4 linked regions of the Saccharomyces cerevisiae S288C genome follow. The gene in region 2 interacts genetically with the main gene of each other region. Each region holds a gene or a part of one and is shown on either strand. Other genes may lie near its edges.

Region 1 (7,126 bases), on a different chromosome or scaffold from region 2:
TATCATGCAAGATCTTAATATTAGGATCTTCTGGAGATCTGATAAAGAATAGAACACCTGGTCTAATGATATTTTTCCTAATCATTCCGATATATTTGGCAAACCAATACATGTAGAGAGTACCAATCGTCCAGTATACGAAAAGGGAAAATGGAGGCCATATTGCGCATATTGAAGGAACCCAAAGCATCCGACTATTGGATGCCAGGATTGGGCAAAATAATGAGAAATCTAGCATTACACCAGCTAGAATGGGGAATCCAGCCAATTCGATGAAAAATAAAGTGAACACCTTGAAAGTGCATTTGAGTGCAAATAAAATCTGGAAAATCAGCCTTCTAGTAGGGTTGCTCATTCCGTTCTCACGGCCATAACCCCTCGAGACAAGATTGGATGAAGCACAAACGATACTGACTGAGGTTAGATACGTCGTTAAAGCAGGTAAAGCTCTGATGAAAATTGAGTGCTTCATGGTGTTTTCAGTGTAGCCGTTGTAAAGATAAATGATGTCATGAATTAAGTGGTCTGAAATCCAACTCATCGCGACATCTACTTTAGGGACCAGTTTCGTCAGCCCATTGTAAGCTATATGAGCGCCAGACAAGTAGTAAAGATGGCACAACCCACGCAAAATAACCTTAAATATACCAAAATAAATTTTCAACAAACCGAACCCAATAAAAGTTGGAAACAAATAGGAAATTGCCAGGTATATTGCGGTGAAAACTACGGCAATTATGAAATAAGCAATGACATTCAACAATTTCAATTTGAGATTTATCACTAGAGGGCCTTGTCCTTGATCGTCTGGGTTAGCCTGTGCTGGTGGCACACCAACAGCTGCGCCAAAGTCTTGTTCGTCTTGATCGACATTTCCAGCTCTGTTTTGGGCAGGTGGTGGGATGAAAACCGGAGCGTTGGGCCTGTTTATTGCGTTCTGTTGAGCAGCGATTAGGTCATCAAATTCATTTTGCGCACGACGATTTGCCCACATGTCAATCGGATTGGGCTCTATATGATCACGGTAATCTGCCTCTTCTTCTGGTTGCTGCTGTTGCTGTTGCCCCTCTGCTTCTTCATCTTCTTCGTTGTCACTTGAAGACCCCGGTAAAATTCGTGACGAATCATCACCTGATGGTAAACTATTGTCAGAGTCGTTGTTCTCGTGCTCTTCCGTAGCCTCATCATGATCTAATTCGTCTACGTGGCGAAGGTTTTCAAAATTCCGATGGTCATTAGGATCCTGAGGTGGAACGTTATCGTTTCTGGGATTAATAACATTATTATTATTATCTGCTGCTGCGGCTGGCATGTTCAGTCTATCATGACCTTGCTCTTGACGATTTTCGTCATGAGCTCTCATTTCCCTCGCTAAATATTCAACCATTCTATCATCCATCATGGGGAATCTTTCCTTCAAACGTGATTTCAAGTCCTTGGGAGATAATCTTGGACCTATCTTGTGGAAAACCATTTTACTGAAAACATCCTCTCTTACTATCATATCGTATTGAAAGTACAATGCTATATGTAGTATCACTATCATAATAAATTGTAAAGACGTAAACGAATGGTTTTGTAAAAGTTGGTAAAAAATTGCTCTCGTGGTTAATTCTGGAGTTGCTGACTGATCATAACCATAAATCAAACTCTTTAGGAAATCACCAGGATAAGGGGATGATCCATCTAGCATCATGGTGTATAATTTTCCAAACATGTTCCATACCAAAGGAACACCGATAATATATAGTACAGCGGCCAAACCAATCGTTAAAGCCAAACGAGCTTTTTCGAAAAATGTCAAGATGCTCTTGGATAGTAGTAAAGAAAAAGGTATCTTTTCGGGCATGTTTTCCGCATATATCGTTTTGAATTGAATGGGATAGTGACAGATGTCACATTTAACATCCGCGCCTGGTTTTGAAATGTCTATATTTTTTGAAGCTACCCATTCCAACAGACAGGATTCATGCATGTATTTAATTGAGCCCCTGCATTTACAAGGATGGAAAAGAGGATTGTCCTCAGTAGCTTCTCCACGACAAATACGGCAGGTGGCGCCGGATGGCGCATCATCATTGAAAGTGGCGGTATCTGTTTCCTCGTTTGCCACCTTATGCAGTTCATCTCTTAACCTGGAGACATTAACGTCAGAATCAACATCCATGACTTTCACACTTCTAGTCTCTTTGATTCAATTAGTGGTACTCTTGGCTAAAAAAACAGTTTTTGAAATCAGTAACAAAGAACTATTCTTAACGTAATCTTATGGCTTCATAGATCGGTCATAATCATCTTTTCAATGTCCTCAATCGATGCGTTTTCAACCAGTTTTCCGTCTCTAATGATTTAATTTTTCTATTGAATTGAAAATGGTAAAAAGATAGCCCTGTAGGGGGCTCGAACCCCTAACCTTATGATTAAGAGTCATACGCGCTACCGATTGCGCCAACAAGGCTATTTCGTTGGAAAAACTACTTATTTTAGGAAGTAATAGCACATTTAAGATGCTTGTTGGAATGAAACTTTAAAATATCATCTGTTTAGTACTATTCATGTTACTAATTAAGATATGGGTGAATTTTGAGATAATTGTTGGGGGTTCCATTGTTGATAAAGGCTTATAATATTATGTATACGGAATATACTAGAAGTTCTCCTCGAGGATCTAGGAATCCTCATAATGGAATCTATATTTCTATATACTAATATTACGATTATTCCTCATTCCGTTTTATATGTTTCATTCTCCTATTACATTATCAATTTTTGTATTTCAGCTTCCTCTAACCTCGATGACAGCTTCTCATAATTTACGCCATCCTCTTACACCGCATGTGATGCTATTACTACTAAATAGATAACATTAGAATTTCATTCCAACAGCTTTAGTCTGTTTTAATAAACGCAACAGCACCATAATGTTATTAATTTTAATAAAGCCAAATTATGGCCTGCTGATTTCTTTTCATTGGTAAAAGTTCTATCACCCGTTCCCCATTAGTATGATAACCGATAAATAAACTCTATTACCTGGTTTCTTCGTTCCAGGAACGTTTATACCCTGACTACACATTTCTTTTGAAAAATAGGCCAATTGAACAATTAAGTTAGAAGCGGTTAGAAAAAGGTATAATAGGAAAAAATGCATCCAATTTTTACAGTTGAACCACTTGGGGGATTTTATTCTCGTATTGTAGCGGGAGCATTTTATCTTCGTACATCTTGGAAGCTGTAGATTAATCTTATTCCTATATGCTCCTTCAATCCACACAGCAAACCCCCAAATGGAAACGATCACTGAGTATGTTATAAACCAGCTTACGCTTATACTATTATCAAAATTCAAAAGATTGAACGGGGAAAATGGTAGAAATGAATATTGAAGCATTTTCGCAATGAAAATTAACCGCATTGTTTTTATAGTAATTCTGATGGCTAACGGCGGTAATACAGCATCCTTACGAAGAGCGGGAATAGTTCATTTGCCCTCTTTGATGGTTTGCATAACTGCGTTGTTGATTGTCTTAGGAATGGAAATATTTAACAAATATACCTATAATGAAAAAAGGGTCCTTCTTTTTAATTATTATTGGCAGCGAAAAAGTTGTCCCAGCTTCTACTTTTTTTCCCGTTAAAAAAGGAAGCGGCGGAAGCTGATCTACTCTCTAATAATAGACTACTCACTCGCATCTTGGTAACGAGTCCCTTTAAGATCTTGGTACATAAAGTTTGCTGCAGCAAAAAGGGCTTATTTGCGCATTCATGATATTAAACAACACCCTGTTTAGCGTGTTAATGATCCTTGTTTTATGCCAGTATATTCTGTATACCTTATAATAGAGTCAACAGTTAAATCCTAATCATTACCTCAGGACTTACCTATTTCTGAATATCATGGTCCACCATTCTACCTCAGTGAATTGATTGAACCGCACCATTGGAATTGTCATGGTGAGCCAGCGTGCTACAACTTCATGATTTTACGAGCTGAAAAAACACGCCCTTAGGCATAAAAACTCAATGGAAATCTGTAAAACAAAATAAATTTCGCTTTTTAACTTGGCCTAATGGGAATACTTTAACAATTGAACCTGTCACTAAATCAGAGGAAGTACATGCCTAATTACTCAAAGCTGTATTTAACTAATTTACCTATACTATCGCCAGGCATTCAAGGATGAAGACATGCGTCAATGCAAATAGTGACGGCTGCTGCATTAAAGAGGTGCTGCGTGGTGTAGAAAAGGCAATAACATGGACGATGCAAGGTTATTCAGACGCGTTGTTTGTATGCCATTTCCAATGATAATGTTGGTTGCGTTATATAGAAATGTGTTAGGAAGAGATTCTACAGTTGATTGCAGCTTTGACGTTATACTTACACCTTGGATAATGGCCAGTATGTTTTCCAAACGTATGGTGAATTGGTCTAATCCACGTCAAGCTGTTTTAAAAGTATGCAGCGCAGCCGTGACCTCCCGGATAGTTGCCAATTGGTTGTTTACGATGAACATATTATATACCAGTGGTGAAAAGGGTTTTTACTCGCTAGCAACAGCTGTGGTAATTAAAACGGTCACTGATGGGTTTACGGTGATACGGGTTTTCTCTATTCACCTGAACGAGTCAGTATATAGCAAGCCATTACCATAACATTGGGTAACGTCGCACGCAACACAGCTGCGGGTGTGTGTGGTGATTGGTTAGTCAATTGGTCATTTGGGCTGGTAATAGGGCATGTTCCCCTTACAGCTTGTACTGTCTCATTGGGGTTTGCTCTTATTGCTGGAATAATAAATGGAAAGGTTAACGACGACACAAATGGTTTTCGACGACCAAAACAAATTAGCAAATGGCAACCTTTTGTATTAGGGCTAATTAATGTAAGCGATGTTACCATTTTGTCTATTTCTGGCGGTGGACTGGTAGCTTCTTCATGTGGAGGTGCAATAGGCTATGCTACTGTCATTAAAACTGTTGCTACCACAAATGCACGTTTCGCGATTACTGAGGTGATCAAGGAAATAGTTATTCGTTATTCATCACAATTAAATGCAGAAAAAGTTTGTGAAGAATAAAAAACTCGAGCCGGGTGGTAAATTGTTTTAGTACGGTTAGCATCGGTTTAGTACCTGTACCAATATGTGTCACTTTTGTTATTTCTGCAGGCGATAATACTTATAATAAACGCATACATGATATCATAACTGCCTTTATACGGCACCTTACAACTAGCATGGGCGTTCAAGTGGTGGAGAACTATTACCTGTTCCTGAAATAACAGAATGAATCATCAATAAGGGCTTGTCTGTACCTCAGGATGATTTGAACAAGTTCCACTTACGCTAACATGAGGATGAATATCGTACTTATACTATGTAAACTGGAATAGAAATATTCCGAACGGTTATCCATTAGAGTGTTAGCCCTCAAACCGAGACTCTCGATAATATTGAATAGAAGATTTTACCACTAAATTTAGTGTGTATTTATGTATCTTAATAACAAACTATCCAACGAAGACGCAAAAGATACTATCCGCCCCGTAATCCTTTTGAAACCACTCAAGCTTATGGTTCACGTTATAGAACACAGGAGACGCTTGCATTATTGGTGATTCTAATATAGCTTTCTATTCCTCTATGAAAGGCGTCTGTGTTGGTGTAAATAGAAGAGGTGCCTGGTCACCTGACGCCTTATTTTGTGCAGTTACGATGTTCGAGTAGATTCGCTATCGAATTTATGCTCAAAATCTAGCTAATCCTCTTATTAGATCTTGATATGTATATATGTATGAAATTATAAGTTCTAGCTCTAGTTTTCAGTATCTTATTTATTTTTCTTTTTTTACAGTGTTAGAGGCCCATTCCCTGCAAATTTTTCTCTTCATATGAACGTCAACAAAGCTTGGAGTAAATATGATCTCACCATTAGGGTTACTTCCTATCAAGTTATCCACGTTGGTGGCTTTATTTAATGCGATTTCTTTTAGATAGTTTCCTTGGGATATTATCTTCCCATCGTTACTCTCAATTGGTAAATATTGTAATTTCTCGAACGAAGTGAACACTGCAAGAACAAAGAGTATCAATCCTGCATACGTTTCATACATGATATCTTTAGGTAACTTGCTGATTGCACCTTGTGCATTATTAAGCGAGTTAAGTTTTAATAAGTGATGAAACTCATAGCTTGAGAAACCAGAATGAAATAACACCAATGCAGAGACTGTATAGAGAAGCTTGGAAACAAACGACATCTCTTGATAATTGCTTTTTTGTATCTCGGTAGGGCTTAATTACGATCGCTTTTTAGATGCTACAATTAACATGCATAACAACTATCTGAGTTGACTTTATTTTATATTCAAAAGTAGATTTTTCTGCGCTGCGTTTACATCGCGAGTTTTCGAAGAAGCAAAGGGCGCTTTGATGACGATTGAATGGGCTTGGAAAATACATAGCCGAATATCATCCAGCGAGTATAGTCTAATGCGAAGGGATATTTGAAGTATTTATGATTAATCAAAAACTGCTAACGAAGCTATGTATGTTCAAAAGAAAGATGTGATATATATTATAGATCTTATTGTTTTACAAAAGAGCAATAAGTCTGACGTATATCTTTTCCCTTAATCTTGTGTGATTTCGTCGCTGTTGTCTATAGCATCTACCACGGTTGGGTGTTCCTCAATTGGTGCTAACTCTGAATTATTTTGCGAACTTTCTTCAATAGGTTCTAGATCGATTGTCATGGGAATATCTGGATCATTATTTTCAGTATTTGCATGGTCGGTTTCTCGTTCACTGTTGGGTTGTAAAGGCGCTTTTTCCCTCTGTGTTTGATTTGATTTTGCTTTCTGTATGTTCTTTTTATTAGGTTCTGGATTTTCCATTATGGTATCATCTACGATTTTTTTGAACAGCGGGCCAAGCTTTTCTTTGTTTAGTGCCACACGGGAAGCAAATCGTTCATCTAAAATATTCAGTTTCATTAGTCCCTTCAATTTAACTGTGAATAAAAGGAATTCAGTTTCAATATTCTCGAAAAACCCGGTTTCCGGCAAATCATTTAGGTTGGCGTCTTCATCTGCTACCCTTTCTAATTGGACGTCAACTTGCTT
Region 2 (8,445 bases):
TTGCTAGGAACTCAGCTGGCTTTATGGGATGCAAAAGAATTATCAGATTCCAAGAATAATAAGAACACATCAACCATGAAAAAAGCCGCATCGAGACCTTCTTTTATCAATTTTACAGATGCTTCTGTGAGGAGTTTGGACGCTAATGATCAGGTAATCATTGCATCAGAGAACGAAAAGACAAAGAAAGATCTAGACAATGTTCTTGTTGTTTCAACAACTTTAAAAAACAGGTATTTCTTAAAATTCAAAAATTCAAAATCATTCAAAACTTGGAACGCAGCAATTAGGCTTAGTTTGTTCGAGTTTACGGCGTTGCAAGAGGCCTACACGGGCTCATTTTTGTCAAGCAGAGGTGTTAAACTTGGTGATATCAAAGTTGTTATGGCAGATACAAAATTCACTTATGAGGACTGGGTTAGCGTAAGATTCGGGACAGGTATGCCATGGAAACGTTGTTATGCTGTTATTTCTCCACAGTCTGGCAAAAAAAAGAAAAATTCGAAAGGTTCAATATGTTTCTATGAAAATAACAAAAAAACCAAAAAATCAAACATAATGACAACGGTAGTAGATGCACGGGCTTTATATGCCGTTTATCCTTCCTCGCCGATATTAATCGACACATCTACAATCATAAAATTGGAAGGTTTTGTCTCTTTTGACAAAAGTGAGGAACCTCAAGAAACCAACCTATTTATCATGCCTGAAAAGCATCAAGGTGTTCCGGGATATGACACTATTATTCGCTTCTTAATCCCAGCTATGAACGCGTTCTACTTATATGGTAGGCCAAAGGGTTTGATTGCCAACAGAACTGACCCAGACTCCCTGCTGTTTGCCTTACCCACTCTTCCGCATATATATTATTTGCAGGTGGATGACGTTTTATCATTAACAAAAGACAAAAATTACATACATTGGAGTGCTGCTGATTGGAGGAATAACATTGTTCAAGTATTACAGAAAAAATTAAGTAAGGGCTATAAAGGCTGTGGTAATAAAACTGTATCAGTTTCATCTGGGATGATGAAGTCGCCGGCAATTAGTTCAGCTGAATTATTTGAAGGGTACGATTCTCTCCCTGAAAGACAAATGGAAAGTCCGCAAAAATCTAAGATGAAGTCTCCTACATTAGCATCGACCGATGATATTAATTCCGCTTCTGCTTCCGTAAACTCACATGCTACCTCAGTAAAACAAACTGAATTATTTGTGACTGATAATTCTTCAAAAATCAATGACTCTGTGTCGGCGCAGTCCAGTGTCACTACTAACTTCAAAGATACTTTTACCACCCCAATGACATCAGGAATGCTCAACCATGAAAATTCAGAGAGAAGCTTTGGTTCAGGATTAAAACTCAAAATCACTGATTCAAATTTGGAAAATATGGAAGACGTTGAAGCGAAATCTGCTAACGAATTCTCTACGACACCAGAAGACAAACATATTCACCTCGCCAATGCAGCCGAATTATCCGCCCTTTACGACAAATATTCCACATCTCCGTTTGGTAAATCGGAGGCTAATTCAAGCCCTAAACCTCAAAAATTGGAAGTTAAAGATCGGTCAAAAAATGAAAACAGAAGCCCCTATGAGAGATACGTAGGTACATCCGCTGAAAGCAAGACATTTGAAATAGGTAACGTCAGAGAGTCGAAAAGTACGATAAATACTTCCCTTTCTTCGCCTTTGAGGGTAGAAGATAGTAGACGTTCAAAAAATGAGGACCTGGGATCTTTGAAAGAGTTTGAAGAGTTATCTCAAAAGATTAGCAATATGGGAATGGCAAATATTTCTTCAGAAGCTTTAAGTGACACAGCAGAAAACAGTTCTTTTGTTACGGACCTGAACTTGAATATCAATAACAGTTCATCGGTCAATCTCAATGAAGAACAACGTGTGCCGGATTTTGGGGAGGAAAACGTATTTGATCCAGATTATATGGAACAAAACCAAATGTTGGAAACAGAAAGTAGGTACACTACGGATGAGTTTGACTTTTCAGATAATCAGGATGCAGCATCCAGTAATTATAGCAATGGGCAAACCAACCGAACAGTAACTGAAACCCTTTCTGCCAGTGACAGAAATGACAAGATCCCACATTCTTCTTTATTTACAAACTTAAACCAGCTTACTTCGAATGGAGGAAACTATCAGGATAGGGAAGATTTCTCTGGTGATCAAATAAACAAACCTCAACAATCTCAACCACTTCATGTGAAAGGACCACAAACTTCGTCATTTGGTTACAGAAATTCTTCAGCCAATAGCTCGCAGCCTCAAGCACCATACCCGGTTGGTCGCCCGTTAGGTAAGATAAGAACGGGTCCGCTGACCGTCCAGCCTATGCAACAAGGTGGAAACTCATCAATGTATTCTTTCCAATCTTCGCAACATCGGTTTCATTCGTCGCAACAGCGCCAAAACCAATCACTTTCCTTCAGAAACAATACCTATGGAAGTGGTAACAATCAAAATACATTCCATCCATCGCCGCAACTGCAACAACAGCCTCAAAATATGAGATATTTGAATAATAAGTTACCAATAAATGATAGATCTCCAATACCGCAAACACAGCACCATGTACCAGATGGCCGTCCCAGCCTCCATATAAATACCACTAACCGCACAAATCCGCTTACTGCACAAAGTGGATTTTCTCAATTTATGCCTCCCAATAGCACATCAACCAACCCATATTCCAGCTGATTCATTTATATTTCATCTTTTCTTTTTTTTTTTTTTACAATTCAGTAGTTTTATATAACTTCCCATAAATGTATTATTTTTTTAATACGACTATAATATACCTCTATACCCTTATTTATCTCTTTACCTTTGCTTTTAAGCTAAACAAATCTTCATTAACAGGTATTATATTACTGGCGTCGCGTTTCGTTTAGGCGCATCGAGCCGAGACTTCAGAATCACAAATGCTTTGTATATATGTTACGTATTCAGTATTGCCCAACATGCAACTAGATTCAACTAAGCAGACGTGGGTACTTACATGAGAAGCAGATCATTGAAATTTTACTAAGTTAAAGAAGAGGAAGGGCTCCAATGATTGTAAGAATGATACGTCTTTGTAAAGGTCCAAAGTTGTTGCGAAGTCAATTCGCATCAGCAAGTGCACTATATTCAACCAAGTCATTGTTCAAACCTCCCATGTACCAAAAAGCGGAAATTAATTTGATTATTCCACATAGAAAGCACTTTTTGTTGCGGTCGATTCGATTACAATCAGACATTGCGCAAGGAAAGAAGTCCACCAAGCCCACTTTAAAGTTGTCCAATGCAAATTCAAAATCCTCGGGGTTTAAAGACATTAAACGGCTATTCGTCTTATCTAAACCGGAATCCAAGTACATTGGTCTTGCCCTCCTTTTAATCCTCATTTCAAGTTCAGTTAGTATGGCTGTACCTTCCGTTATCGGTAAATTATTAGACTTGGCTTCCGAAAGTGACGGCGAAGATGAAGAGGGCTCAAAAAGCAATAAGTTATATGGTTTTACGAAGAAGCAATTTTTCACAGCATTAGGAGCAGTATTTATAATTGGAGCAGTTGCTAATGCAAGCAGAATCATCATTTTAAAGGTCACCGGTGAGAGACTGGTCGCAAGATTAAGAACGAGAACAATGAAAGCTGCATTAGATCAAGATGCCACATTTTTAGATACTAATCGTGTCGGTGATTTGATCTCAAGATTATCATCTGATGCATCTATAGTGGCCAAATCGGTCACACAAAACGTCTCTGATGGAACAAGGGCAATTATTCAAGGGTTTGTCGGTTTTGGCATGATGAGCTTCCTCTCGTGGAAATTGACTTGCGTAATGATGATTTTAGCCCCTCCTTTAGGTGCTATGGCACTGATATATGGTAGGAAAATACGAAACCTATCAAGACAGTTACAAACCTCAGTAGGTGGGTTAACAAAAGTGGCAGAAGAGCAATTAAATGCTACTAGGACAATTCAAGCATATGGTGGTGAAAAAAACGAGGTTCGCCGCTATGCAAAAGAGGTTAGAAATGTATTTCATATTGGTCTGAAGGAAGCGGTTACTTCCGGTTTATTCTTCGGAAGTACTGGGCTAGTTGGCAACACTGCAATGCTGTCGTTATTATTGGTTGGAACAAGCATGATTCAAAGTGGTTCAATGACTGTCGGTGAATTATCTAGTTTCATGATGTATGCCGTGTATACCGGAAGTTCATTATTTGGTTTATCGAGCTTCTATTCAGAACTTATGAAAGGTGCTGGTGCGGCTGCCAGGGTTTTTGAATTAAATGACCGTAAGCCATTGATTCGTCCGACTATTGGAAAGGATCCTGTGTCATTAGCCCAAAAACCCATCGTTTTCAAAAACGTGTCATTCACTTATCCCACTCGGCCCAAACACCAGATTTTCAAGGATTTGAATATTACTATCAAGCCTGGTGAACACGTTTGCGCTGTCGGTCCATCAGGAAGCGGCAAATCAACAATTGCGTCTTTGTTGCTCAGGTACTACGATGTGAACTCAGGATCGATCGAATTTGGTGATGAAGACATCAGAAATTTCAACTTGAGGAAGTATCGAAGACTAATAGGATACGTGCAACAAGAACCACTACTTTTCAATGGGACTATTCTGGACAATATCCTCTACTGCATTCCGCCTGAAATTGCGGAGCAGGATGATCGTATTAGACGTGCTATTGGAAAAGCTAATTGCACAAAATTTTTGGCCAATTTTCCAGATGGATTGCAGACTATGGTTGGTGCTAGAGGCGCGCAATTGTCCGGTGGTCAAAAGCAAAGAATTGCATTAGCTAGAGCGTTTTTACTAGATCCTGCCGTCCTTATTTTAGATGAAGCAACCAGTGCCCTTGACTCTCAAAGTGAAGAAATAGTTGCCAAAAATCTTCAGAGACGTGTGGAAAGGGGGTTCACTACTATATCAATTGCACATAGGCTTTCGACGATCAAACACAGTACTAGGGTGATTGTGTTAGGAAAACATGGCTCAGTGGTTGAAACCGGTTCATTCCGAGATCTAATCGCCATTCCTAATAGTGAACTAAATGCGCTGCTTGCCGAACAGCAGGACGAGGAAGGAAAAGGGGGAGTGATAGATTTGGACAATAGTGTTGCCCGGGAAGTATAAGAAGTTGCCGCAGTATGGAATCACTTTTCTATGCCACAGTTATGGTATGTGTTGGAAGACAATTAATTATCGCATTATGTTTGCTGAATATGAAATTGTGTATTCTATAATTTAAATGATGCCCAATGTAATTTACACAAACAGTTTTTTTTTAAAGCTCCTTGTACGCCTTTATACACATTAAATTAATATTAGATGCACAACATACGGTACGTTTAGGAAACTCAAATTAAGCTTTATTTTTTTACTTTTTTATTATTGTTACTATTATTCTTATTATCAACATTATCGTTTTCATATCTTTCCTGAGTACAAATATGACTGAAACTTACAAAAAAAAAATTAATTATTTATTACTATTAATGATTAGATGTTACGCTTTTTTATAAAAGTGAGAGTGATACTCGGTTTAAATCATCGTCCACCCTTCATCCGTTGTTTCAGCAGGTGTCAGTTTGGTTGCATCTACATTTTCCTCTTTCTTGCGCGGAGTTTTCACTCTTGATAAAGTAACGCTTCTTGCATACTCAAGTTCGTTGTAAATTGCACTTATTGCAGTTTTAATCCCATCTTCTTTGGAAATTTTCTTCTTTATTAATCCAGCTCTATCCTTCATTATTTTGTTCGTCGTAGCTACTTTTAAAGCATCTGCTAATGTTTGAGCGTTAAGTTTCTTTAAAGCAATACCAACTCCAATGTCTTCTACTCTACCTGCATAAAAGAACTGATCACCAAAGAAAGGTTTTATAACAGTAGGTAAACCAGCACGTAATGAAGCTCCAGTAGTTCCAGAACCACCATGGTGAACGGCAGCATCGACTTGTGGGAACAACCAATCATGGGGAACGTTTCCGATATTTAAAATGTTTCTTGGAAGATCTACCTCTGTCTTCTTTGCCGCCTTATCGCCCAACCTTTCTGACCATCCCTTATTTAAAATGCAGTATACATCTGCTTCCATAACTGCTTCGACAAGAGCTTCCGTCATTTCTTTGGCATTAGAGACTACAATCGAACCAAACCCGATATAAACCAATTTTTTTCCTTTTGATCTTGCCTCAGAAATAAATTCTTGTAATTCTGCTGGCGGTTTGAAAGTACTCTTATCATCAAGAAACCAATATCCTGTAACTCTCACCCACTCGCTAAAATCAATTGATGGCGGAAAAATTGTAGGAGAAACATTGTATAAGAAAGGAACATTATTCTGCTGTAAAAGAAAAAGATTTGTTTTCCCTAAACCTAGAGTTTCAACTCTCCACTTGTTTACTTGCCCACTAATTCCCTTCCAGAAAACGTTTTCGAAAAGGACATGTGTCAGGTAGTTATAGTTACCGCCCCTTTTTTGATCTGGTACAATAAATGCATGTGGATATGCTCTTGTTCTTGTCCATGGCATGGTAAATGCTCGAAAATAAGGAATTTGCAATGCTTCAGTAATATGAATACCAACCATAGCTGAGGGTGATTCAATCAGAATATCAAATTTTCTTCTGTTACAAACCTCCCAAGATGTCTGTAAAAGAGCATCGATCCATCCCCTAAATTTGCTCGAAGCTTCTCTCAGCATTTTAACATTCATTGATTCATTTTCCACCATCAAGGACATCAACTCCACTGGGTTACCAGCAATCTCTTCAAACTGGATTCCATGACTTTCAACAAAGTCTCTAAATTCCGAATGTGTAATTATTACCACTTGGTGACCTTCTTTTATCAAGCCCTTTCCAAGTGCAATATATGGTTGAACATCCCCTCTTGAGCCAATCGTCAATAATCCAAACTTATAACTCTTGTTTGGTTTTATGCTTGTTTTATAGTGCGGATTCTCATCAATCATTAACGGTACCTCAAAGCCCTCGGCATTAATTTTATCTTCGAAAAGCTTCAACTTCGCTGAGTCAGGGTTATGCTGAACATCGCCAAGAGAAGCACTCGATATATTCGATCCTTCTGCACTGCTTGCATATATGTTATCTAAGAGCTTTAAAAGAATGCGTTCAATATCATCCCTGGCGACCTCAGTGCTAAATTCAAAAAATAGCTCCTCGTGACCGTGAATTACTATAACCAATACAAAATAACCAAATCGAAATCCCTTTTCTTTATAGCATGTCTCCACATCAACCAATGGCAAAACCATGTATGTATTAGACCCTGGTAATAACGATCTGAAGCACACCGTATCATTGGATACGTAAATCTTACCATAAACGGGAACATTTCTATTCAGGTATGTGTAGTAAGTACTGATTAGTGACTTCTCTTTATTAAACTTGAAATGGTACCTGAACCGCTCGTTAGCAGAAACCTCTTCTGTTTCTTTAATCAAATAGGTATCATCCTTTTGAAACGGGATAAACTTGTTCCGGTAGTGTATTGGTTTGGCAGCCCACATTTCGGCAAAATTTTTGAGGTGACTTGGCTTCCAAGCTACGGTTTGCTCTTGACTATCTTCTTGTTCATGAATATGAATCGTGGAATGCACAGAAGAGTCTATATCATTCGCCGCATCTTTATATATTTCCTCCACATCCTCAACTTGAGAATCTTCAAGAGGTTTAGCTCTACGAAACCAACTATTGCTTCTTTCTCTAAATCTGAATCGACTCTTTTTCCCATTTTCCGAAGAAGGCACAGCCGAAGTTGGAACATTCAAATATTTTGAATCCTCGCCGTTATTCTTTTGCTCAACTGTAGCTGGTGTCTCTTTTCCAAAACTTGATTTTGATTTCTTGGCTGGAATATCATAATAAAGTGTATTAACACCGGATTTCTGCAATATAGCCAACTGTTCGCCAAGGCTCTCTTTGACCTGACTACCGGACCCATCCATGAAAACAAACATGAAATCATCGATAGCATAGGTCTGTGAGCTCTCCAAAGCTCTTAATCTCAATGTTAAAGCTTTGTTGACTATAGGTTGATCATCTATCTCTATAATGTTGGGCAGCGGAATTTTTAAACTTATCGAATTGTTTTCAGAATTCTGAGCTGCGAACTGCTCCTTTTTCAAAGCGTTCACCCACGATTTAGCGGAGAACTCTGAATCTGCATTGAATTTGAATGTACTTTCATCTGTGTAAAGCTTAAATGTTTTCGTAGCACTCCCGTTTAAGGTATGTTTTTGTGTTTCAATTTTTTGGACCTCCCTCAAATCTATGGTTAAAACCGGAAAGTATAGCTCAGTTGATGAGGTATACATAGAAAATAAATGATTCTTTAGTACGCACCAATACCTGGTAGACCTAATTAGTTTTGTCCTGATATTAAGGTTTCCAG
Region 3 (7,967 bases), 290 kb from region 2:
TTCATATAAAAGTTGGTGCAGTTAATGATTAATTGCATTGTTTTCCTTGTTTCTTTCTGTTATACCTGTCGAATTAAACATAAAGTGTATATGAATTTTAAGGGGCACAAATAACAAAGGATTATTTATCACCTTTAATAATGCAATCGATCAGTAATTGTCCCATCGGGTTAGTTTCAAAAAACACAATCAATTCAGCTTCCACTATTGCAGAGTGGGTAGCATGTCCATGGAAATATATCAACGTTGTTGGTTCAGGCAGATATGTGAGCAATAAACCTGATAAAATTACCAGATATGATTTACTCAAGGCTGCCCAGGAAGCGGAAATGCAGGAGTTGCTTACAAGAAATGATATGAAAGGTAGACATAAACGTAATAAGAAAAGTAAGATAGCATTGGAGACTATAGCGGAAGAAAACTCTTCAACTGAAAGCCTTTTTTAAAGTTTGTGTCACAATCATGTTAAGCTATCGTCCCCTCATATCATTTTAGCCTCCAGGTAAAACCTAAATATTGTATAAAAGAGAATGGTAGGCGAGCATATTATAGAAAAATATCTCTAAATAATTTACAATTTAATATTCGTTGCTAATGGTAATTTTTTTTCAATTGTTCTTAATCCTTTCTTAAACATAAAAATAACTATTTTGAATATAGATAATACACATCAACGATGCAACTCCAGTATATTAGCTAGTTAAAGGAATGTTCAGTAACTCTACAGTATTACAGAAAGGGCTGAATGAAATTTCAACTAATTTGTCTCTTGTGAAATTTAGATTTGGTAACTCTACGCAGGTGCAAGCCATTAAATAGCCATATAATACTCTTAATGTTGACTCATGTGCAATGATGAGAATGTCCTTGCTCGTATGCTCCATTTCTAATAGTAAAGGTTCCATACGAACGGCTAAGTCATGGTAAGATTCCGCCCTAGGGAATCGAAAATGATATGGGTCTTTTAATGATTCTTTATATTCTGATGGAAATTTGTCCATTATCTGTTGATCAGTAAGATCAGCAATACTTCCTGGGTTCAACTGTCTCAACTCTGACCGTTGCTGAACTTTAATACCTTCTTTTGAAAAAAAGAGTGCAGTATCGTGGGTTCTTTTCCTGGGACCTGTCCAAACTATCAAGGAAGTCTTCAAATCTTCATCATGACTTCCATCTATTACTTCGACTAAGGAATCCGAATTTTTTTTGGCCTGTCTCTTCTGTTTAATTCGTTGGAGGACAAAATCCTTGAGAACTTGAGAGTAATGGATTCCCTCCTCGTTTAGTTCCTCATCATGTATGTAGTTGTCTTTATCGCTGGTGCCACAGCGAGCAAAATATACACACCCCTTTTTCTGCCTCAAATTCATTAAGAAAAATACTATTTTGTTGACCAAATAACCATGTATGTTATCTTTCACAATTATCTGCTTTCCCAAATTTATATATTTAATGTACGATAATTCTTCGTCATGTGTCATCATTTCATAGTATGGTTCGTTCACTGATAAACGTCTCATATATTCGTCAATGGCTTCATCAGTTGAAAGTCCCTTGTAATCGTTCGACTCCAGTGCAAGAGCTATGTTTCTATTCATGATTTCTTGATCAGACACGATTGATTCTATGAAGAGTACTTTAACTCCAATTTCAGAAAACGTTGTCTCCAAATTCTTTCTGTCAATTTTACGGATGTTTAGGGCATCATAAATGGCCAGCTGACCTGACAAGTCGTTGAAAAATGCCAGTATATCATTCAACATCTGCATGCGAAGCTTTTCAACAAACGCTACACCTTCTTTTGACGTTGGCACTACGCAAAAATAGTCTGAGGGTATATTTTTAGCTGATTCTTTATATTCTGAAAAATGGAACGATTTCGTCCTAACTCCTAACCATCTTGTATATCTTGTAATCGCTACTGACAATAGTGTCTTTGATGTTGCTGGAAGACCGACTAGAACGACAAGGATTCTTCCAGCATGAAATAAATTGCCCGAGTCAGTGGAGTAAAGCTGTCCTGGTGATATATAACTTTCGGTATTTACCGGTCCATGAACTCCATCAATATTAACATTTTTCAGATCGGCTGTGGTAGCACGTTCTTTATTTACCCACCTTTTGACGGTCCTTGCCATATGGTTACCTTGTCTAGAGGGTTTCATAATCTCACTTCCTAGTCCATTAAGGAGCTCTTCATCATCAGAAAGCACATTTGGCATGTTTGCTATGACAACCCTATATTTTATTTTAAACTATGCCCCTATGCAAAGATCTTTCAGTATAACTGTATAAAGGCGTAGAAGTAGGATGAACTGTTTTTGTGTTAAGATTCTATCTCGGTTCTTGTCTGCCAATATTCATTCTCACGCCCCCTTAACCCCGGTTTCTAGCGTAAGGCGAACATTTCTTCTCCGAAAAAGCTAGCACATATCCATAGTAAAAGGTAGTGCCAGTATACAGCCCTTTACGTAAGACACTGAGTACAGTGGAATGGATACTATTTTATACGTTTTACATATGATTATTAAATGGTTTGAGTAAAAAAAGTGCAATAAATTTCGAGGAAGTTTTCAGGGAATTACATAATTTATTCCAACTTACCGCCCTTTCTTTGGATCAAAGCTTTTCTGTCCTTGTCCAAATGTAATTTAGTAATGACAAGCTTGGATGGGTGCAAGTTAATTGGAACGGAAGCACCGTTGACCTTTTCCTTGGTAACCTTGTCAACTTGAACGGCAAATTTCAATCTGTAAACAGATGAAATCTTACCTTCTTGACCCTTCTTGGAACCACGAACAACCAAAACTTCATCATCTCTTCTGATTGGCAAGGCCTTGATACCGTATTGAGCTCTCAACTCCTTAGATAATGGAGCAGATAGCAAAACACGACGTTGGGAGGATGGGGCGGTGAAATAAGCCTTTCTAGCCTTTCTTCTGTCGGAGGAAACGTCTAAAATAATGAAAATAATGTTAGTATTTCGAGTTTCAACAAATCTTACCCTCTTAGTAAGCAGGACCTTGGAGAAAGTATTGAATTTCAGATGTATCACGGATGCATAATATAGTGTAATTTCCGGGAAGCTCGATTTAGAAAAACATATTCACACTTTTTCCATAAGGTAAGATACGGCTAGATAAATTGAACAATAATTCTATGATTTTTTCATGTCGTGAGACTTTATCTCCCTATTATTTTGATATTTGCGTCATTTTCCAGTGGTTGCAGTTATGAGACATCACCTAAATAGTTTACAAGTTTCAACCTTGGATAACGCACCTTCTTTTTCTAATCGAATTAAGATAACATTGAGTCATTCTGCCCTCAGGCAAAAGGTACAAACTATATTTTCAATTCCAGCTCTACAGGGTTTCAGTGATTTAGCATTTGTGCACATACCTAATGATTGTTTAGCCATTCTGATACTTTTTTGTTGGTTACGTCAATAATATAGAATCGCACTACAAAATTGTCTTCTGTTGTTATAGTCTTCTTAGTATCTTGTACTTCGCCTTCTAGACAAGCTGTCGTCGTTACGCATCCAGGCAAGATTCCATCCGATGGATACTGCTCTCAGCTCTCGGCTCTTCCCTAGACGGAATATTCCATATCTTTCACGAACAGGTTCCTCTAGCTACTGATTTTCAGAAAAAAAAAAAAGAAGAGAAAGGATTAGTTAACCCATACATTACATGAAAATCATAGATACAATAATCAATATGTACGGATGTTGGAAAGGTATGCTGTCTTGTTTACTAGCCGCCGGCTCAAATACAATAGAATAGCATAAGTAATCGATACTTCAATAGCATTCATGGACGTCGGCATAATTGATGGAACAAACAAATAACTAATAATCAAGATCATCCTAACTCTTGCGCATTAACTTTGAGGGAAATGAAAAATTGACAGCCCTTACGCGAAGAGTTTGAATGTATTTCTTGACTTTATAGACACTGTGCTGGCATCGTAGCCTCCGTTCTTTCTATGCACTGACTCGGAAATATGCTTTTTCCTTAAAAATTAGAATAGTGCGCTAAAAAATTAAAAGCTCCTCCCGGGACTCGAACCCGGATCACAGCCACCGGAAGAATGCATGCTAACCATTGCACTAGAGGAGCATAATAAATTATCAGAGATAGTAAATTCCTGCTCTTTATTCATCTGACCTAGTATTTATTCCGAAGACAAAACTCGGCGACTTTGATGTCGTACTTTCAGAAAAGAAATTATTGATGATGATAGTTAAAGGTATAAAAAAAAGTATTAATCAAGTTTAAATGTGGATATGGACCTTCCTGTGCTTATATAAGAGAGGTATAAAACTGTTGAAATAAAATTCCACCATCACCTATCAACTAATGGTTATGCTATCAATATATTATCATATACGGTGTTAGATGATGACATGAGTTATGAGAAGCTGTCATCGAAGTTAGAGGAAGCTGAAATGCAAGGATTGATAATGTAATAGGATAATGAAACATATAAAACGGAATGAAGAATAATCGTGATATTAGTAAATAGAAATATAGATTCCATTTTGAGGATTCCTATATCCTCGAGGAGAACTTCCAGTATATTCTGTATACCTAATATTATAGCCTTTATCAATAATGGAATCCCAACAATTATCTTAAAATTCACCCATTTCTCAAAAACATAAGCCAATTAAAACGTTACGAACTGTCACGAATATAATAATGGGATCATAGCTATTATATTTTTAATGTGACAACTCATATTCCTCATATACATAACTACCACATCTGTTCAATTCATGCATCTTTAGTACCGCTTCAGTACCATCTGAACTGCCTGTACTGCTCATTTAGATTTCGTTCTGGAATAGACACATTTACACTCCAACGTAAACGGCGTACATTAATACAATTCTAAACATGAGGAAAAAGACTGACTTTATTTAAACTATCAATTTATAACTTCATTGAATATTAAATGAATTTTTTATAGAAGAATTCCAGCAGCTATCATAGAAATTAGAAGTATAACAAACCCTGAAGTTTTAAATGCGATGGTGCCGTCATTTTCTCTCTCTTCACTCGATGGGTACTTTACGTTCAAACTTTCCTTGCTACGCGATGGATTTGATTTTGAATAATCGCCATGATTGTATGTGATGTTCCTTATAGAATCAAAAACATTCTTACAGATCGACTCGCTTGTAAGGGGCTGCAGGCTTTCTAAGTTGAAGTAAACGTTCTTATCATTTAGAGGACAATGGCGATCATTTGCGCCGATTTTGCAATACAATTTACTCAGCTGAAGGGAAAGTTTTTGTTCGACAGAACAATCTGAGAATTCACCGTACTCACCGGTTTTGCCATTTGCAAGAATATCGGAACAGTCAACCTTAGAGCACAAATAACTAAAATATTCTTCATATTTTCCAGATTCAGCACCAAAAGGGACTATTTCACAGGGCAAAATCTCATCCAAACAGGCGCACTTGCTTCTATCAGGTGTTTCAGGTAGTTTTTCGTTTGCCTCCCAAACTCCGACAGCAATATGTGGACATTCAACACTTTCTACTTCAGTTGGTTCTTTTGCCGTTAAGTATTCTTCCTCTGTAATGCCTTTAGGATCTGCCTTTGCAAATTCTTTCTTCAAATTCTTGAAATCAGGAAGAATATCCACTCCATCATTATCATTTATCTTAACAACTCCGTATTCATTTTCTTCTTCAAAATACATGTATGCAAGGCCACCAGACCAAACAGAGGACATTTTATTGCCATAAAGGGCACTAACTTCAGTGAATGGCCTTGGTCTTACAAGATTGCAGCCGAATTCCGAAAAAAACACGGGAATTGGATAACCTTCAAATTCTTTCGTTCTTTCCCTATATCCACTAGTACCATACGTGGAATACCCACACCATTCGTACATATTTATCCCATAGAAATCAGCTTTAACGTCTCCGCAAACGAAGTACCTTGCTAAATTGTCTCTTGTCATAGCATCGTCATTAGTTGAATAGCCGACAGGGATTTTTCTATGATTAGAATGCGAAATATACTCCTTGGCATCTCGGATTGCGGCCTTCACGAAGGGTGATGCAAAGGTATTTGTATGGTCATTTGTCACTTCATTCCCTGCAAAATACCCCAACAAATTTGGAAAGGATGACATTGCATCAATTACAGATTTGTACCTTTCAAAAATATGTACATCCCAAGATGGATTTTCTCTATTTATTGAAATATCAGGCTCTGAAAGATCTAATAGGACGTACATTCCTTCGGCAGATAGAGCTTCCATACATATATCATGTGATTTTGTCGGATCTATTGCATAAACACGCAGTGTGTTCACTCCTAGCATTTTCAAAAATGGAATATCTCTTAAGCATATTTTTGGGTCCGCTAAGGCATCAATATAACTTGTCTCAAAAGCCCCATTTGCATTGCTAAGCTCCTCTTCACTTCTCTGCAATTGGTAAGCAATGCCCTTGATGAAGAACTGTTCCCCACTCTCAGAGTCAAAGAATTTGTTTCCTACAATTTTAATAGCAGGGGTTTTTTCAAAGCTGACACCTGAAGAGCCATGAGACAATTGCAAACAAAGAAAAATAGCCACAATAATGGCTGCGTAAAAATTTTGTTTCTTGTTCATACTTAACTGAAAAGTTTCAAGTACCTCGAGTTAACGAATAGTAACGGATGTAGGTTGTTGAATGTTGTCTTTGTCTGACAATCTTCTCGTTGGGGCTCGCAACTATCTAGCTAAATTAATTCATTTACAATCAGAGTGACACAAATTTTTTCAGAATTACTGACACCGAAAGCTGCTCCGTTTTTTATAAATAGAGGCCGATACTGGTGAAAAAAACTAGACAAAAGACTGTTTATAATCACATAACTGTACAAAAAAACCCTTATTGGCATAAACACATTCATATACCTATAATATAAAACTAAATTAAAAAGACGCTTCCAAAAATAAGTAAAAAAGCATCAACATTAAAACAATCTAAACCAAAAACATCGAACGGTATTTGCAACATCTTGAGAGTTTCTGGTCTACTTGCTTTTGGATAGAATATCAGTAAAATCAAGCGTTCAAGCAAGTATTGATTGTATTATTTTATAGTTGACCAGGTCTTTAATGATGGCGTATGAGTATAGTAGTGACTTTGATAAGTTGACATTTGGGAACCAGTGTCATTATTGGTTGTATTTATTGGTTGGAATAGATTGTGAACAACGCCATCCAATGAATCTCCAATGTGTTTGTGGATCTTAGCAGAGGCTACAGCAGGACCAATAATGCATCCTGCAAAAATAGCCAATACTAAAAAGTACAAAGAGCAGTACTTCTTGACCATACGCTTACGCAAACGAGTTTGCTTCAGAGAGTAAATTGGGGGACGAATTTGACGAGAGGGCTTTAGCCAGAATAGCATAATCGAGTGGAATTTATCTATTTTTGGGATTATAATGAGTGGCAGTTGACAGATTAAAATCACATGACCTAGAACAAAATCAGCTGCAAATTCTGAAAGCTCAATTACCTTGGCGGTTAATTCTCTACTTGGCTGGGTCCAAGCCATGTAACCCATACCTTTACCATACCACTTACCAGTCCAGAAGGCTGTATTGGCATGATCGTTTTTAAATTCACGAGTCAACATTAACGCTGTCATGCAATGAAAAATGAGTCTTTGACATTGGATACAAGTAACGACTCCGATTAACATTCTAACAAAGTTGAAGCTCTCCAAAACCCACATGACAATGAAAAAGGCAATGTGGACAATAACAGCAACACCGTGGGCAATTCCAGCCATTACAGAACCTGTCTTCTTACAACACATACCAAATAAGGGACCAGAGCAGCATGACATACCCATACAGAAGAATAGAACACCGAGGTTAACGGCGATTGGCGCCAAGGTACAAATGATGATACGTAAAACAGAATTCACCCTATCATCATCAGTA
Region 4 (8,052 bases), on a different chromosome or scaffold from region 2:
TTTGTTCTAAAAGTTATTTGGAGAGAAAAGGCATGATTGAGGTTGCGACTTTTTCGTTTTTGCTTTTGCATGGATAATTCATCCATGCACATCTCACTTTATTGGACCTTCAAGATTGGTTTCCCATGTAATTTAATTTTCTCTCCTCTACATTTAATATGTTCTATATTAATTAATACCAATTGAGTTGTGCGTACTTCATTGCAGATATTTTACCAGACCTGTCTGAGTTTTTCGTTCAAGTTTGGTTGAAATCGGCTTGAGGTATATGAACGTGGTTGGGATATGGAGATTGGGAGATCAAAGAAGCGAAAATACCTGAGACAGTTTTTTTAAAAAAGAAGCTAAGGAACATGACTCAAAGAGACACATTATTCTTGTTTTTATGAATAGGCGCTGGTCGGCGCACCTGTATGTACTATTATTTTTTTCTCTATCTATTTCTTGGTTCGGAAGTCCCCACCGCCTTGTTTCCATAACCAAAGTGCATCAATAGCATAATTTCTGACTGACAAATTTCTAGTGAATTTCTCATCAGAGGAGATTTCTAAGGATTCGATGACTTTTCCGTCTTTAATCAAGTCCCAAAACATGGAATAGATCTTATCCATAACGTTCGATATGCTTCCGTCTTCCTTGTATGTGTCTGCATCTATTTCTGGCACTAGCTGGTAGTAGCTTTTTTGGCCTAGCTTATAAAGTATTCTCCCCAAAGTTTGTATAGCAATGCACCTTTGAGAAGGAAAAGTGGATCTTGCTAAATGTTCTAACTCCACTATGGTGTAACCGGCGAGTTCAGGCGAGTCGCTGTGATGGTGCAACCCTGAGTGAATGGTAGAGTCTATTTGTCTTGTGGGTGGAACAAGGTCGCCATTAAAGTCAAACCTACATTCAGATACGTCTTCAATGATGTAATTCTTGTCTGTTTTTTGCTGAACCGGTTGCATCCATTTTAATTTGTCGACCTCTTTGGGCAAATCAGGGAAGTATTTTTCGTGTAATTTATCGTTGAAATTAGGATCATTTATATCAAGTTTCTCTAAATTGATTTCATTTTGGCTCTCCTCTTTGATAAAATGAACGTCTTTGAATAGCTCTTCATTTTTCATATGATCAATGCATTGTGCCATCTGGAAATCTAAGGGTGCGATATCATCGACGTCATCATTAGTTTTTGCTTCTTCTTCCACGTCTTTTTCTTTTCCTGCTTCTTCAAATTGAACATGTTTTGCATCTTTGCCTAACATAGGCCTAATTTCTAAGGCAACGTCTACATCTTCATCGTCTAACGGTGGTAGATCGTATATGCCTTGCTTGTTGCCACCTACCCAGGTACCAGAAGCGCCTTCTATTTCTGCAAATAATGGAGTGTTGTTTTCGTCCTTCGCTCTTTTATTTATGTTTTTCAATAGCTTGGCAATCAGTTTGGGATCTAAAGAGTTATACAGATCCTCACGTTCTTGCACGATTTGTTCATCACTCATTCCCTGCAGAACTTTAATATTTTCATTATGGATAGATTTTGCCTCGGATAGTGGGGCGTCTGTACTCGTTTGTTGCTTTTCAGCATCCTTGCCACTAGTTTTTTTCTTTTGGGCTCTTTTTTCTCTTAGTCTTTCCTTCCAAGATGATATTTTCTTGGGTTTGTACAACTCGGGAAATCCCGTTCCACAGTTGTTGGTACTAAGAGTGCCATTGTCATTACTTTCAACAGAGTCAGATGTATCTTTCTCCACTATATCGCCCAGTAAGTCCATTACGATGGTGGCAGAGTGATTTATCTTCTTTGAATGAGGGAAAATGAATATATTAAACTATAGATTTACTTAGCCGACAGCGATGAGATGGCTTGCCATTACATTATTATTCATTTCAGGTACATAGAAGTACCGAAAAATGAAAAAGAAAAAATAAAATAGAAAAAAAAGAAAGAAATGAAAAAAAAAGGGTAGCAAAAGAGCCACACATCACTTATTACGAAATTCTGCGGAGGAGGATAACGTAGAAAGAGTCACTCATGCTAAACTACCATAGTTATCATCCGAGGAGGAGAGGTGTGAGTACCGGGCCTCGTTCTCCTCATATGGATGACAGCTGATCACGTACAAAGCATGGATCAGACCAGGGAAAAACCCTAGTAAAAATAACAGAAAGTTAATGAGCAGATCCTTGGTAAAAAAACCTCTTTTTAGCCAGACTGCTAAGGGAGGAATGAAAATTGCAATAAAAACTAAAAACCAGTCGCGGGCGTGCATAGTGTAATTCTAAAGTTGTATGTTCTCTAATACGATGACTGGTACTTGCAAAATGCTTATTCGAGGACTAACTAAGATCGATCAGTAAAGATCTCTTGTCAATCAAACCTTTCTCGCACAATAGGAGACAGGAAAAGGGGAAAGAAAGTCGAAAAAGTGCGGGTTCCGGTACATGGATTATATCGCCCCGGGACAATGCGCGTTGCCCCTCACCGGCCCGGAATATACGCGTGGTTGCGCTCTTTCGTTACCCGCGACTGTTTTGGCGCCCCATTCATGCTACGCGGATCTGGACCTGCTTATTTCCCGAGAATACGTCCCGAAAAAGTAATGCAGTTTCCGAAATGGGCGCGGTAAGGGCCTAGGCCCAACGTTGGGCCTTTTTCAGTTCCAAAAAAACGACTCGTTGGGAGCCGTGCGGTCCCGTCTTCGGGCGTGATTGGCCGCTTTGGCCGCTTCTGGGCGTAGGACGCCAAAGTTTATTTCCAAAATAGCGAAGACCAGAGCCACGCCTTTTCTTTTTGCAAGCGGAATATCCGCTTGAGAAATGAGAAAAAGAAAGCAGAAAAAAAATCATCGCTTTTTTCACGTTTGTTACATGAGATATGGTGCTGTGTGTCATCGCGGTGGTTTTCCTGGCTTTTCTCCTCATATATAAGGAACTCGAGAAATTCTTGATTTTCTTTTCCATCTTCTCCTACTGTATTATTTACTTTATTAGTTAATATTGTTTTTGATTTTAGAGGAAAATCATCATTAAACATAAGTTTCAATCAACACTAATCATCAACAAAACAATGCAATTCAAGACCATCGTCGCTGCCTTCGCTACTGTTGCCGCTGTCCAAGCTGCTAACGTTTCTACCAATGGTTCCAACCGTACCAACGGTTCCAACACCACCAGCACCAAGATCTCCACTGGTGCTGCTGCTTCCAACGCTTTGGGTGCTGGTGTCTTCGGTGCTGCCGTCGCTGCCGGTGTCGCTTTCTTATTCTAAGTTCTTTAATTTTGAGTTTAGAGACATTATACTCCTATAATATCGAAAAAATTTTTTTATTATCGCTACACAATCAAGTTTTTATGTGCTTTTTTAATAATATTATTATAGAACAAGAAGAAAGACCGCTCTTTCCTTGAAGGGACCAAAGAAGGAAAAAAAATATGTTGGAAGGGTTTTATATGATCTTTTCATGTTCGTTCACTTGTAATGGAATATTAGTTAGAAGATGTAAATAACTTATCTGTTTATTTTTATTTCCTCTCTATAATTATTACCTGTATTAATTCATTATCTAATATAAAATCTAATCTAATAATAGAATTTTCTGATGTTTATCTTTTTTTTTGTCGTATTCTCGGCGAATTAATCGCGGAAAATTTCATATCGAATTTTAAAGGAATGTCATTTTGAACGCTAAAGTATTATTTATTCTCGTCCGATGTTGGTTTTTTTTCCTATCGCTGTCGTTATAATAGTACTTGACGAAGAGAGAAGAAAAGTAAAAATTTGAGCGAAAAAGAGGATAAAAATCACATTGAGGCAGAGTGGTTAAGGTAGCTGTACCAGTCATTTTGAATACATTTTTCTGGATGTTCCATCAATAATGGATTTTTATACTACTGATATCAACAAAAATGTTGTGCCTTTGTTCAGTAAAGGAACAGTAGCAAGAACAGCATCAAAAGCACAGTATCCATCATGGTGCAACAACGCGTTAAAGTTAACTAATATTCTTCTTAAATCTCTTCGATGTAAATTTCAAACGAACCGCTGCGAGGATGATCGAGGTTTTGAGGTATATTGTGTTATTTTAAAAAGCATCGCTTTATTAATGGCCGCGAAAGAATCATTGATATTACTACAAATACCTCCTTCTTTACCATCAGGATTTCCATTTCGTTCACCCCAACTGTCATTTACATATTTATCAACCCGTCTTAGTGGGAGCCAACACAAATCTACGCATTCTCATCACATCAATCATCAAACTCATCCCATTCATAGTAGCAGTAGCAACAGTAATAGTAATAACCGTATTCCTACAAAAACAGATTCCTCCAAACAGCATACACAGCATTTCTCTTTTGCTAATGCGGGAGCCTCCAATAGAGACGAACTGCTATCAATCGTGCGCAAAATTGATAAATCTAATTTGAAGTGTTGTGACTGCGGTAGCACCGCAACAGTAGAATGGGTGTCAATCAATTTATTGTGTATATTGTGTATCAAATGTTCGGGCGTTCATCGATCTCTGGGTTCACATATCTCCAAAATTAGATCTTTAACGCTGGATAATTTCACCTCGTTAGAGTTGATGCATCTTTTACAAAATAATGTTTCCAATAGTAATGTTAATGCCATTTATGAAAGCAATCTCAGGAACTTTCCAGTTAAAAAAATAACTGCAAATTCTGATGACTCGGAAAGATCCAAATTCATTATTGATAAGTATCAATTTAAAAAGTTTGTTATCGACAGCAACCAAGGCAGAGAGGCTTCTTTGAAGTCTTTAATTAAAGCTATCCATTTAGATAGTGTTTTCATGATGCAAAGAGCCATCGCCCAAAGTAAATATTCCCTAAGAGAATTGACGGCAAGCGAAAAAGAGCAGAATGATCTAAACCATTCTTCCATTTTTCAATATTCCCTAAAGCACTATGAAATTGTTGATGGAACGCCCATTTTTTTTATTACAGAATTTTTATTGTGCAATGGTATTCATATAGATAATTTACCGAAGATTACTACGAATTGGTCTCCAAAGGTTTTAGAATATTGGGAAACTAAGTTGGAGATGTACGGAACATTCCAAGCTGTAAATACTTCTCGTCCAAGATCAGGGCCGCATTTAAATATGCATTCAAATGTAGATTCAGCTTCGTCCTACAATAAGAAACACGATTTGAGAGTTAACATACCTGAAAGAAGTGCCTCAGCAAGTAAAAGGTGGAGTTTGAGCTCCATTCCTAAGTCTTCTCAAAATTTGATGTCCCCAACAAACTTATTAACAATGCATAAGTCTTTAAAATTGGCCAAAAAGGACAAAAAATAACATATATGATAATTTAACTGTATTTTTTTCCCTTTTCTAATACTTTTTCCTCAAGTTATATTTCGGAGCTGTCCCAGGTTCGGAACAATGCGGCATCAGGGATAAAAAAAAATGACACATAAAAACGAAAAAGACACAAATTCCATTTTTTTTTTTTGACGCGAAAGAATGACACTACTTTCTTCTATTGTAACCATTTCTAACATCGATATTTTACTTGTTAGTTCAGATATATACTAAAGAGTCACTTAATATACTGTTTTTGTTTATTATCTTGGTTCCAACTGCTTCATTTAATATTTCCTATCCAAAAAAAGCCAGCTAATTCTCTTCTTTTTTTTTCTTATTTTGCCATTTTCAATATTATCGATTTAGTGAACACCTGGCTAGTCAGTTGTCTTAGCAAACATTTCTCAAAAGAAAGCAAACCAGCATTTGCTTTTTAAATTTAGTTTTTTTACTAGCTAATTCATTTACTAAACAACAAAAGAAAATAGCACAAAATGGAAAGCAAAGAAATATCAATTAGGTCAAGAACCCCTCCATCGAAGCTATATTCCATCCAATCATGTATTGGCAGAGGTAACTTTGGTGATGTGTATAAAGCAGTGGATAGAGTTACGCAAGAAATTGTGGCAATTAAGGTGGTCAACCTGGAGCATTCCGACGAAGACATTGAACTGTTAGCACAGGAAATTTTTTTTCTGGCGGAATTGAAATCTCCTCTTATTACAAACTATATTGCAACAATGTTAGAAGATGTCTCTATGTGGATTGTCATGGAATATTGCGGCGGTGGATCATGTTCAGATTTACTGAAGCGAAGTTACGTCAACGGTTTGCCTGAAGAAAAAGTTTCCTTCATTATTCATGAAGTCACCTTGGGTTTGAAATACCTGCATGAGCAAAGGAAAATTCATCGTGATATCAAAGCAGCTAATATTTTACTAAATGAAGAAGGTATGGTTAAGTTGGGTGATTTCGGAGTAAGTGGCCACATTCGTTCCACTTTGAAAAGGGACACTTTTGTAGGAACGCCGTATTGGATGGCTCCGGAAGTTGTTTGCTGCGAAGTTGATGGGTATAATGAGAAAGCAGATATATGGTCCTTGGGTATCACCACCTATGAGTTACTCAAGGGCTTACCCCCATTATCTAAATATGATCCTATGAAAGTTATGACTAACTTACCAAAAAGGAAGCCTCCAAAATTACAAGGTCCCTTTTCGGATGCAGCAAAGGATTTCGTAGCTGGTTGTCTTGTTAAAACACCTGCTGATCGGCCATCGGCATATAACTTGTTATCATTTGAATTTGTTAAGAATATCACCATAACGAACTTGAAAAGTGATGTTGATCTAATTAAACAGAAAAAGGTTCAGGAGAGATATACAAAAGTTCCCAAATACCCTCTTCAAAATCGCTTGTATAAAAACAGCAACACAGTGAGGGGAAAGGAATTTTGGAATTTTGAATCGACAAGACTAAGCACAACACAAATTTCCAAAGAGGAATTATCTCCCATTACACAAGACTCTCCAACATCATCTTTAAATATGGAAAGTCCTTATTTACTTCATGGGCAAACTGTAACGCCGATAACCAACCCAAGTTCTTCATCATTTAGAAAATGTACGCAACCAGTTTTCGAGCTTGATTCAGGAATGGATATAGATTCAGGCTGCCCAAATGCTCAAGCAGAGACCGAAATAGTTCCTCTCTCTAATCATAATAAGAAGCATAAAAAGAACGATATTCAGGCGTTGAAGATAGAAAAGTTTGACTACTTGAAAAACATTGTATCTCATATTCTCAACAGAATGTATGATCGTGCGCGCGACGATGAAACAAGAAAATACGTAAATGAAATGTTAAAGCAATTCATTAAAACTGAGGCAAACGTTCCTGGATTTAATGAGGTTTTTATAGAAGAGATCTCACTAAGAATTGAAGCAATAAAGAAAGGATTCGTTTAAAAAAATAGATATATATATATAATGTGTGTATATGCATGAGTTTTTGTTTTCCATTCTCTTTCATCTTCAATAAATGAAGGATGGATATATTGAATTATATAACAAACAGTAAAAAGTCATGTGTTTTTGATTATTTACCTGCTTATTTCTCCCTTTTTTTTTCGATTCTTTTTTTCTGATCGAGCGTTTATGTCTTTACTGTCCCGTCATTGATGCGTCTCAAAAAAAATATTTTGTGGCATTACTTAGACTATAAAAGAAAATGCCAATTTGGAAAACACAAACATTCTTCACTAGTATTTCTGTTATTCAAATAGTCAATAAAGAAACCAAAGTTTCTACAAAAAAAGAAAAGGATAGCATGTTGAACCAGTTGAACACAATCTTAAGATTTTTATTCTTGTTTCTGCAGTTAATTAAATCATCCGCTGCAGTTGAACCTAATGGTGGACCGAATATTCTAGATCACAACATTATGTTGGTTAACACTAATGCAACGATCCCTAAAAAGGAACAAACTGATTTTGAGGTGATTTCTCCAACAAAACAAACACAAGTAGATGAAGACTGTAAAAAAGGCTTGTATCATATTGAGAATGCTGGAAATTTGATTGAACTGCAAGCTAAATGTTGGAAAGTGGTAGGAAACATTGAAATATCAAGTAACTACAGCGGATCTCTTATTGATCTAGGGTTAATAAGAGAGATAGAGGGAGATCTTATTATCAAGAATAACAAACACATTTTTAGAATCCAGGGTTATAATT

The links.
Region 1: mutations in MDL1 (region 2) and EMA17 together harm fitness more than expected from each alone (negative genetic interaction), as found in Saccharomyces cerevisiae (2 studies listed by BioGRID).
Region 3: mutations in MDL1 (region 2) and YLR345W together harm fitness more than expected from each alone (negative genetic interaction), as found in Saccharomyces cerevisiae (2 studies listed by BioGRID).
Region 4: mutations in MDL1 (region 2) and AGE1 together harm fitness more than expected from each alone (negative genetic interaction), as found in Saccharomyces cerevisiae (2 studies listed by BioGRID).

Annotation. Positions count from the first base shown.
Region 1 is NC_001141.2:297,843-304,968, forward strand, and holds EMA17 (Ema17p), read right to left. Parts: upstream 3,416-7,126; coding exon 2,987-3,415; downstream 1-2,986. Other genes in the region: E3 ubiquitin-protein ligase SSM4, read right to left, coding at 1-2,167; EMC5 (Emc5p), read right to left, coding at 5,837-6,262; cohesin subunit IRR1, read right to left, coding at 6,635-7,126.
Region 2 is NC_001144.5:525,225-533,669, forward strand, and holds MDL1 (ATP-binding cassette permease MDL1), read left to right. Parts: upstream 1-3,075; coding exon 3,076-5,163; downstream 5,164-8,445. Other genes in the region: SKG3 (Skg3p), read left to right, coding at 1-2,721; ATG26 (sterol 3-beta-glucosyltransferase), read right to left, coding at 5,573-8,445. UniProt on the Saccharomyces cerevisiae protein: Mediates export of peptides with molecular masses of 2100 to 600 daltons generated upon proteolysis of mitochondrial inner membrane proteins.
Region 3 is NC_001144.5:814,766-822,732, reverse strand, and holds YLR345W (bifunctional fructose-2,6-bisphosphate 2-phosphatase/6-phosphofructo-2-kinase), read right to left. Parts: upstream 2,223-7,967; coding exon 693-2,222; downstream 1-692. Other genes in the region: CIS1 (Cis1p), read left to right, coding at 141-446; 60S ribosomal protein uL24 RPL26A, read right to left, coding at 2,591-2,955, 3,403-3,421; GAS2 (1,3-beta-glucanosyltransferase), read right to left, coding at 4,972-6,639; YLR342W-A (uncharacterized protein), read right to left, coding at 6,750-6,923; FKS1 (1,3-beta-D-glucan synthase), read right to left, coding at 7,106-7,967. UniProt on the Saccharomyces cerevisiae protein: Synthesis and degradation of fructose 2,6-bisphosphate.
Region 4 is NC_001136.10:1,484,799-1,492,850, reverse strand, and holds AGE1 (GTPase-activating protein AGE1), read left to right. Parts: upstream 1-3,860; coding exon 3,861-5,309; downstream 5,310-8,052. Other genes in the region: RBA50 (Rba50p), read right to left, coding at 438-1,757; SNA2 (Sna2p), read right to left, coding at 2,016-2,255; API2 (Api2p), read right to left, coding at 2,617-2,946; YDR524C-B (uncharacterized protein), read left to right, coding at 3,053-3,253; YDR524W-C (uncharacterized protein), read right to left, coding at 3,359-3,448; putative serine/threonine protein kinase SPS1, read left to right, coding at 5,813-7,285; SPS2 (Sps2p), read left to right, coding at 7,548-8,052. UniProt on the Saccharomyces cerevisiae protein: GTPase-activating protein (GAP) for the ADP ribosylation factors ARF1 and ARF2. May be involved in the endocytic pathway.